Ovis aries: one gene and its partner. The protein of the gene in region 2 binds, or shares a complex with, the protein of the main gene of each other region. Links are inferred from orthologs where the notes say so. Each region holds a gene or a part of one and is shown on either strand. Other genes may lie near its edges.

Evidence for each region.
Region 1: the proteins of NRP1 (region 2) and PLXNA4 are in contact, whole or in part, in a cryo-EM structure (PDB 7M0R), measured with the Mus musculus proteins. The link is inferred for Ovis aries from reciprocal best matches to the Homo sapiens genes NRP1 and PLXNA4. Residues at the interface, in NP_032763.2 of Mus musculus: Arg80, Tyr84, Asp126, Tyr127, Glu128; in NP_786926.2 of Mus musculus: Glu272, Lys340, Lys343, Lys345, Leu349.

Annotation. Positions count from the first base shown.
Region 1 is NC_056057.1:97,513,327-97,517,140, forward strand, and holds part of PLXNA4 (plexin-A4), read right to left. Parts: intron 2,164-3,814; coding exon 2,027-2,163; intron 766-2,026; coding exon 601-765; intron 1-600. UniProt on the Homo sapiens protein: Coreceptor for SEMA3A. Necessary for signaling by class 3 semaphorins and subsequent remodeling of the cytoskeleton. Plays a role in axon guidance in the developing nervous system. Class 3 semaphorins bind to a complex composed of a neuropilin and a plexin.
Region 2 is NC_056066.1:19,103,257-19,107,070, reverse strand, and holds part of NRP1 (neuropilin-1), read right to left. Parts: intron 1,521-3,814; coding exon 1,246-1,520; intron 756-1,245; coding exon 659-755; intron 1-658. UniProt on the Homo sapiens protein: Cell-surface receptor involved in the development of the cardiovascular system, in angiogenesis, in the formation of certain neuronal circuits and in organogenesis outside the nervous system. Mediates the chemorepulsant activity of semaphorins.

The DNA of each region.
Region 1 (3,814 bases), on a different chromosome or scaffold from region 2:
CTGCCCCCCTACCCAGGCATTGATACAAAGGTTTCCCAATGATCACCAGGGAGCATCCATGCCGTCAGGATGCCCTCAGCAGCCCCGTCCAGCCTCCTAGTTACCCGTGCATACGTGTGTGCTAGGTCGCTTCAGTCATGTCTGATTCTGTGCAACCCTTTGGACTGTAGTCTTCCAGGCTTCTCTGTCCATGGGATTCTCCAGCCAAGAATACTGGAGTGGGTTGCCATTCCCTTCTCCAGGGGATCTTCCCTACCCAGGGATCGAACTTGCATCCCTTATGTTTTTTGCATCAGCAAGCAGGTTCTTTAGCACTAGCGCCACCTGGGAAGCCCAAAATTCCCACCAAGATTTGAACTCGGATAGCTGGGTTCAGAATCCAGAGCGCTCACCATTTTCCTAGTTGCCCACCAATCCTCAAATCGGGGACTGTAAGCTCCTGCTGGCCAGAGTTTGGCCTCCAGGGCCGGGTCCCGCTCAGAGGCGTTCTCAGTAGAAAGAGGGAACCCCTGCCGGAACATCTGACCCACACCAAGCCCAGTCCATCTCCTAGGTTTCTGAGACTCAAGGAGGGAAACCCAAGGTCGGGGCAGCCCCTACCTGACAATGCTCCACTCGGGCTCGATCCGCACGATGGTGGGATCCTCCACGTACTGGAAGAACAGGTCCTGGTGGATCTTGGCCCTGTCCACCTGCACCGTCACCTTCATTTCCAGCACCTCATCTGAGGACGTTGTGTTGCAGACGATGTAGGATGGAGAGCGCCTGGAGGGAGGAGGGGAGACAGAGAGCTGGGATCCTGGGTGTCGGGCAGGACCGTGGTCTGGGGTCAGGGCCCTCCTGCACCCCTCCCTGTTCATCAGACTCCTTGGGGGCAGTGGGTGAGCGCTGCCCTGGACACTACTAATCTGAGATCTACTGATCAAGACTCTGTCCTTGACCCAACTATAGACAGGTTCCTCGGAGCCTGCTTTTTTGACTAGGCTTCTTTCTGGGGTCCTGCCTTCCACTAGCCTACTCCCATTTTTAGCAAGAATCCTGCTAACTCAATTTAGTAAGAATCCCCCACCCCACCCTGATATCTAAGTACCCCTGATATCTGGGCAGCTTCTGTCTCCCTCACTCTTGATACCTGATCACCTTGACTGCCTTCAGCAAGAGTCTTGTTAAGTCGGTTTAGCAAGAATCCTCTTAACCTTGTTTCCTCTTAGTAATTTTCCATCCTCAGCCTCCCTCACTGCTCCTTGGCTATAAATCCCCAGCTATCTGCTGTATTTGAAGTCTGATCTCTAGCCCCATTGCGATAGTCCTGACACCTATTGCAGCAGTCCTGAACAAGCTCTTTCTTACCATTTTAACAAGTGTCAGAGCCATGTTTTCTGGAACACTCAGGCAAGGTCTGGCCTGGCCTGATTTAGATCAGGCCCTCAGTATAGCGCTCTCCCAGGATGATCTCTCTCTGCAGAGGACAATCTCTCTGCAGAGCTTCCTGCCAACCACATCTCTTCTAGCTATGGATTAGATGTACCTCTCACCTCCCGCCTCCTTCCCAACCCTCACCCCACCCCAGGTTCCTGGCTCCTGGTTCCTGGAAGGTGTGTCCTCCTGGGACTGGACACTGGAACTAGAGGAAGGAAAAGAAAGTCGGTTGCCTTTGGAGGTTCTGTGACACTCGGCCAGGTTTTAGCAGTCCTGGCTGGCACTGCAGTAGCTGCCCAGAGCTAACCCAGGGGGCAGATAACCCTAGATTCCAAACCCTGTCCTATGGAACCCTAGGGTCCTGCACAGCGGGTGGTATGGGGGCACCCAGGCTAAATGGTAGGAGACAGCATGACAGGTCCATCCAGGGTAGGGATCCCTGGCAGGTCCCCGGAATGAGCCACAGCCAAGCATGCCCATAAAGTCTCCTCTCAGAGAGAATGGTCACTTTCTCAGGAAGGAAGAAGCACCTCCAAAAGGCCAGCTGGAGTCAGCCCCGCCCACCCTCTGCGCCAGGATCCCTGGAGCTGGCCCTGAGGTGAGTTACCTGTGGAAGAGGCAGGGCTGCTTGCCGAACATCACCACCACGTTGCTGCCTGCGTTCAGGTTGGTGCCCGTGATGGTCACCTGTGTGCCTCCGGACCTGGGCCCCCGGCTAGGCTTCAGGTCTGAGAGAGTCAGCGTCTGTGCAGGAAAGGATCTGGCCTGAGGATGCTTCTGGGCAGGCCCAAGGCAGCGCCCCATCCTGGAGCCGCCTTCCAGAATCCTTAGTCATGGAAGCCTCCCAGCAAGCAGGTACATATGCCCTTCATATATATATATATACACATATATATACACTTAATCGCTCTATCAATTCTACAAGGTAGGCATCATTGCCCATCTTAAAGACAAGAGTCAGAGATGTTAAATTTCCAAGGTCATAGTATTCTTGCCTGGAAAATCCCATGGATGGAGGAGCCTGGTGAGCTGCAGTCCATGGGGTCGCTAAGAGTCGGACTCCACTGAGCGACTTCACTTTCACGCACTGGAGAAGGAAATGGCAACCCACTCCAGTGTTCTTGCCTGGAGAATCCCAGGGACAGGGGAGCCTGGCGGGCTGCCGGCTATGGGGTCGCAGAGTCGGACACGACTGAAGCGACTCGGCAGCAGCGGAGTGAAGCAGTGGCCTGAGACACAACTCCGGGGCTGGAGTTCACCCCCTCACCAGTCTACAGCATGGGTTCCTTTCAAGAAGATGAGTCGCCCCGTCCACAGGCCTCTCACAGAGAGCTGCTGAAAGCTCCCAGAAGCCAGGGCCACAGGATGTGTGAGTTCCACAGAAACCCAGCAGAAGAAGCAAAGAAAGGTCAAGGGATGGAGTGAAGAGTCGGACTGGGGGTGGGGTGGGGGGGGGGCGGGGGACGGCTCTGTGAGCTGAGGATTTGGAGTTTCAGTTTGTTCTTTCATTAGCATTTTAATGGAAAAAACTTTCCTTAGTCCCAGGTGAGAAGCCTGTATCTGCATTTAAATGAAGATTTCTCCCTACTCTACTCCCATAAAGAATTCAGCACCAAAAGTTGAACCCACTCAGCTCCTCGAAGCGGGCAGGCCACCTCCGCTCGGAGAGGCCTCGATCAATAACACAAGGGGAGGAGAAGTGTCAAGCGAAGCCCGCAGCCCGGCGGCCTGACAGGGGCGGCCTCGGCTGTCTCTGGGCACACGGGCGGGGAAGCGCCGGGACACACGAGTACCATTGCGCGGGCGCGTTCGCGGGCCCGCTCACCCGGTCCCTGCTGATCTCGAACCTGGCAGCCCCGTGGCACCCACCAAGCCCAGGAAAGGCTTATCCTGGCTCTGATGCTGGCTCACCCTGAGATCCGCGCAAAGATGGGAAGAAGCTTAGGAAAGAGCCTTCCTTTTTCAGCTTTGCCTAGATCGCGCTGTGTGACCTGGCGCAAATCACTCAACCTCTCTGATTACAAAGAATGAAAAAAAAAGAAGCGCCTGACAATTTTCTGGCTCTAACCTCTCACCGATGGTGCCTTTGTCCTGCAGTCTGTAACGGGAGAGCTTTCAAAGGTGGCTCCTGCTGACCTCCCCAGAGAGGAAAGGGGGTGTGAGTGAGTGACTTAGGGGTAGGGGCCAAGTGAAACAGAAAACAGATTTTCTGACAGCCTGATGGGTAGAAGGGGTAGAGGTGAGTAATCCTGGCTTTGCAGTGGCATTTCTGTGTGGGGTTAACAGGGCCCGGAATTATTCCAGGGGCCCAGGAGAGGGCGATAGGGGCAGGTGTTTAAAAATGGTGAGAAATTATTCATTATGCAAGGCTTGCTTCACAAATATTTCTCAGTGG
Region 2 (3,814 bases):
TGCCATTAGTGATGCTACTTATAATTATATATCAAGAACTGGGAGTATGAATTGGTTTTCTATGTCAAGACTTTTATTCATATACACCAGGCCAAGAAAAATCCATAAACTCTGAAATGCTAGGCAAAATCTCTAAATTTCATTTATTCTTTTGAGGCATTTCAACTGTTCGGAGAGTCAGAAACCTCTACTTATTTTTATAATAAATCAAAGAATGATGTTGTCTATGATCCATTCACAATATAATCTTCATTAAATCCACTGTGATGAAAAATTTGAAAGGCTTCCTATTTTGTTTATACATTGAGATATCTGGAATTACCCAGATATCTGAGTTTTCCACTTTTCATCACAATGTTTAGGCATGGCCTGGAAATTGTGAGTTTCTTCTTTGCTATGATTTTTGGTTGCACATTATTGGTGTACTTCCGTGAATACTAACCAAACATTCTAAGTGAACCAGGTTAGATGATGCGGTAGCTGAAGGTAGACTGACCTGGCTTTATGCCTTGTTGTATCAAAGCAAGCACATCTATAGGACGTGCTTATAGCCCACATTAAAATTCTAGGTCTAAGTGAGCATGACAAAGACCATAAAGTGGAAAGACTCATGCCCTGAGCAAGCACCGCATTGGTTTCTACAGCAACCCATACTTACTTGCGCAGTCCTCTTGAGGGATGTGGTTATTGATGCTAATATCATCCACCGCAATCCCGCCAAGGTTGCCTTTTCCGATTTCACCCTCAAAAATCACCTAACAAAATGAGATCATTTCCACAGTATTTAAATGTTTGGTCCCAAATAACAGTGTTTACATATGTTTGTGCAGCTCAAGTCACAGCACGTAAATGAAATTCATGAGATTTCGAACGAGCACGCGATTTGCTCTTCAATCCATATTAACTGCTTGAGGATGGTATAAAACTTCTCCTCACATTCTCTTTGTGTGACACAGAATCTAAAACTAGGAAGAGCAGCAAATAAAAGGAATGTTGATTGTGACAGCCCTAAATAATTATAGGGTAGCATTTCCCTTCTTTCTCAGCAATCAGTCCCCTGGCTGTCAACTAGGAGACTAAGAAATAATGCTACCTAGATGATCATTGGTGCATCGGTATCTCAGGTTGAGGACACACCTGAAATAATTTTTGGAATGATTCCTGCATCTCATTTGCATAGCTTTCAAACAGCATCCCAGTGCCCCCGAAGCAGCTGCCTGCCCCGACCAAGGAAAGGGGGCTCACCTGGTAAAGCTTCAAAGATTTGTGGAGCAGGACACGCCCTTCTTTCCAGTGGTCCCCTTGGTGTCCGATGGCCATCCAGACCAGCTGGTCATACTCCTCCGGCTTCTGGTAGCGCAGCTTGACCCTCAGCGTGCCCACGTGCGAACCAGACATGTGATACCAGAAGGTCATGCAGTGGGCAGAGTTCTGGGAATAAACCACGGGGCTCACCAGGCGAGCCACTTTGCCCTTTTGGTTTTCATCAGCTTGGGAGTAGATGAAGTTGCCATCTCCTGCTGTGACAAAAAGCTGTGTTGGGGAATGGCCAGATGGATGAACCTCTGTCTCTTTTCCATCAAGTTCTGCTCTCAAACCTCTCCTGGCCAGAGCACCAGAACCCAATTGTGCAGCGGTGGTGGTGGTGAAGTGGGTAATGGTAGGTAACCTCAGTGGTGTTGAAAGGCTCTGCTCTTGGCATCCGTGAAAGGACGTTTGTGCTGGAAACTGGAAACCTCAATAGTCGGATACCACTTATCTAGAATGCATGGTCACATGGACACGGGCTATGACCTGCATTGGTCTCTACACCATTGCAAGCAGATCAGATGTACTGGAAGACCTATTTCCATGCAATTTTAAGACTTGAGCCACATGTGTGTGAACACAGAGAGTAAATGTAAATATTTAGATATATTCTTATTTATTTACCATTGGAGCAGGAAGACTTCTGGTGGATGATGCTTTGGTTACTATAACTGCCTGATAACAATGAAGCTGCTGTCTGTCCACATAATCTGGCAGTTTCCCCCCCCCCCCAACTTCAAATTCCAATTCTTTCCCCCTAGTTTATTTTAATGGCTTATATTAATAAGTTCCTTAAATACACCTGAGAGCTTGAAATTCAACTGTGAGTCCCGCTCTTGTTTGATGTAGGCTTCTGGTTCCAGGAGAGGAGAGGCCGCTTTTTCTGAGGCTTATTAGAATGTGCCATTTCAGCAACGGAGATGCTTGCTGAGCTTGGAGGACTAACTCCCGGCTTTCCTGTTAATGACCCCCGGTGGGAGCACTGCCTCCTGCTGCCACCTGGTCTAAACACACAACTCATGTTTCACTGTTTGCTCTGCAAATAGAAATGCTACTTGAACGCCGCACCTGATGAAAGCGCGGATCTGATGGCGAGCTTCAGTGGGCAATGGGGTGTTGTGTGTGCCACCCGAGGGGCTGGCACCTTTGGGAGATGCTCTTGCACTGCGTGTATGTGGGCGCGCCCTGTGTCAGCAGCGTGCAGGTGGAGTGGGTGTGTCCTCGCCCACCATCTTCCTCCCTCACCAGGGTGCTTGTATGAGAGGCTCCTCAGCACTCTTAATAAAACCGGTGGGTGGGATAAAGAAAGGAAGGTGGGAAATAGAAGCCGAAGCCCCAGCAGAATGTGTGCGATCTCGATCTCTCCTGGACCGTGTAGACTCGGTCACTCCTGGGGTCTGTTTTCTCCCACTGATTTACCTAATGATGGTCACCTGTCTGTGTGATGGTGCCACCTCTCTCAGCCCACCTAGACAGGCAGGTAAGACCTTCCCCCACCTTGCCTCTGCCGCCTTGCCCCCATTGTGTGGAGAAGAATGAGGTTGAGGATGCTTAGCAGAGCTGGTCCCTGAGCCAGGCCTGCATCTTTGCTCCCTCCTGTGCTGTCTTCTGCCACCCCTGCTCCCCCTGCTATTGGACACCCTCATCCCATGGCACGGGTGAGTTGTTCCTCACCTGGAACCAGACTGTGAATGCCCCCAGGCTCGGACTCCCTCCTTTATACCTACATCTCCCGTGCCCCTCCCAGCATCTGCCACGGGTTTGGGGAATCCTCTATGAGAAATGACACAGCTCCATTGTTAGAGGTCCAATGCGGAAAACCAATCGGGATCCCTTTGATAAATTCAAAATCGGGCCACAGACTATTGTACCTAGATACTGTTCATTTTCAGAAGCCTCCACGTCTGATTTGCAAAGCACCGCACATGAGCTGTGGCAGGCTGTGTGCGTGTGTCTTGTGTGTGGGGCTCTTTTCATCCAGACTTTCATGTTAACAAGTCCCTGCCTTTCAGATGCCGGGCTCACCCAGCTCGCTCAGCAAATGATTGCAAGTTTAGTGCTGCGGGGGCTCTTTCTGGTCTGGGTGGATCTGGAGGGCTCCCGGGAGGACAAAAGAGGAAAATGCTTCTGAAGGAATCGCACTTCTCAGCCGTTCATCTAAGACACGCCTGCCTTTTCTGACACTCCAACACAGAAAGCGCTGATATTTTTCCTTTCGGGGTTTTATCGCAATTCTAGGTCAGGAACTCTCTCTCCGTTTTCTCAATTAGCACTGTACTTCTGTAAGCCTTTTAGCTTTTGTCTCTGGCTAACGTAGCTTTTAACCTCCTTTGAATGTCAGATCCTACTGAGCCTTTTTGCTTCACTTTGCATCAATTTTTCCACCATTACTGCCTTCATTTCAGCTAATTGCATTTGGTTAATTTGGTGCCATTTCTACGTACAGTGCCATTTACAGTCAAAGTATTTTAAGTTTTCTAAAACTGCTTGTCTTAAGATTCAATTG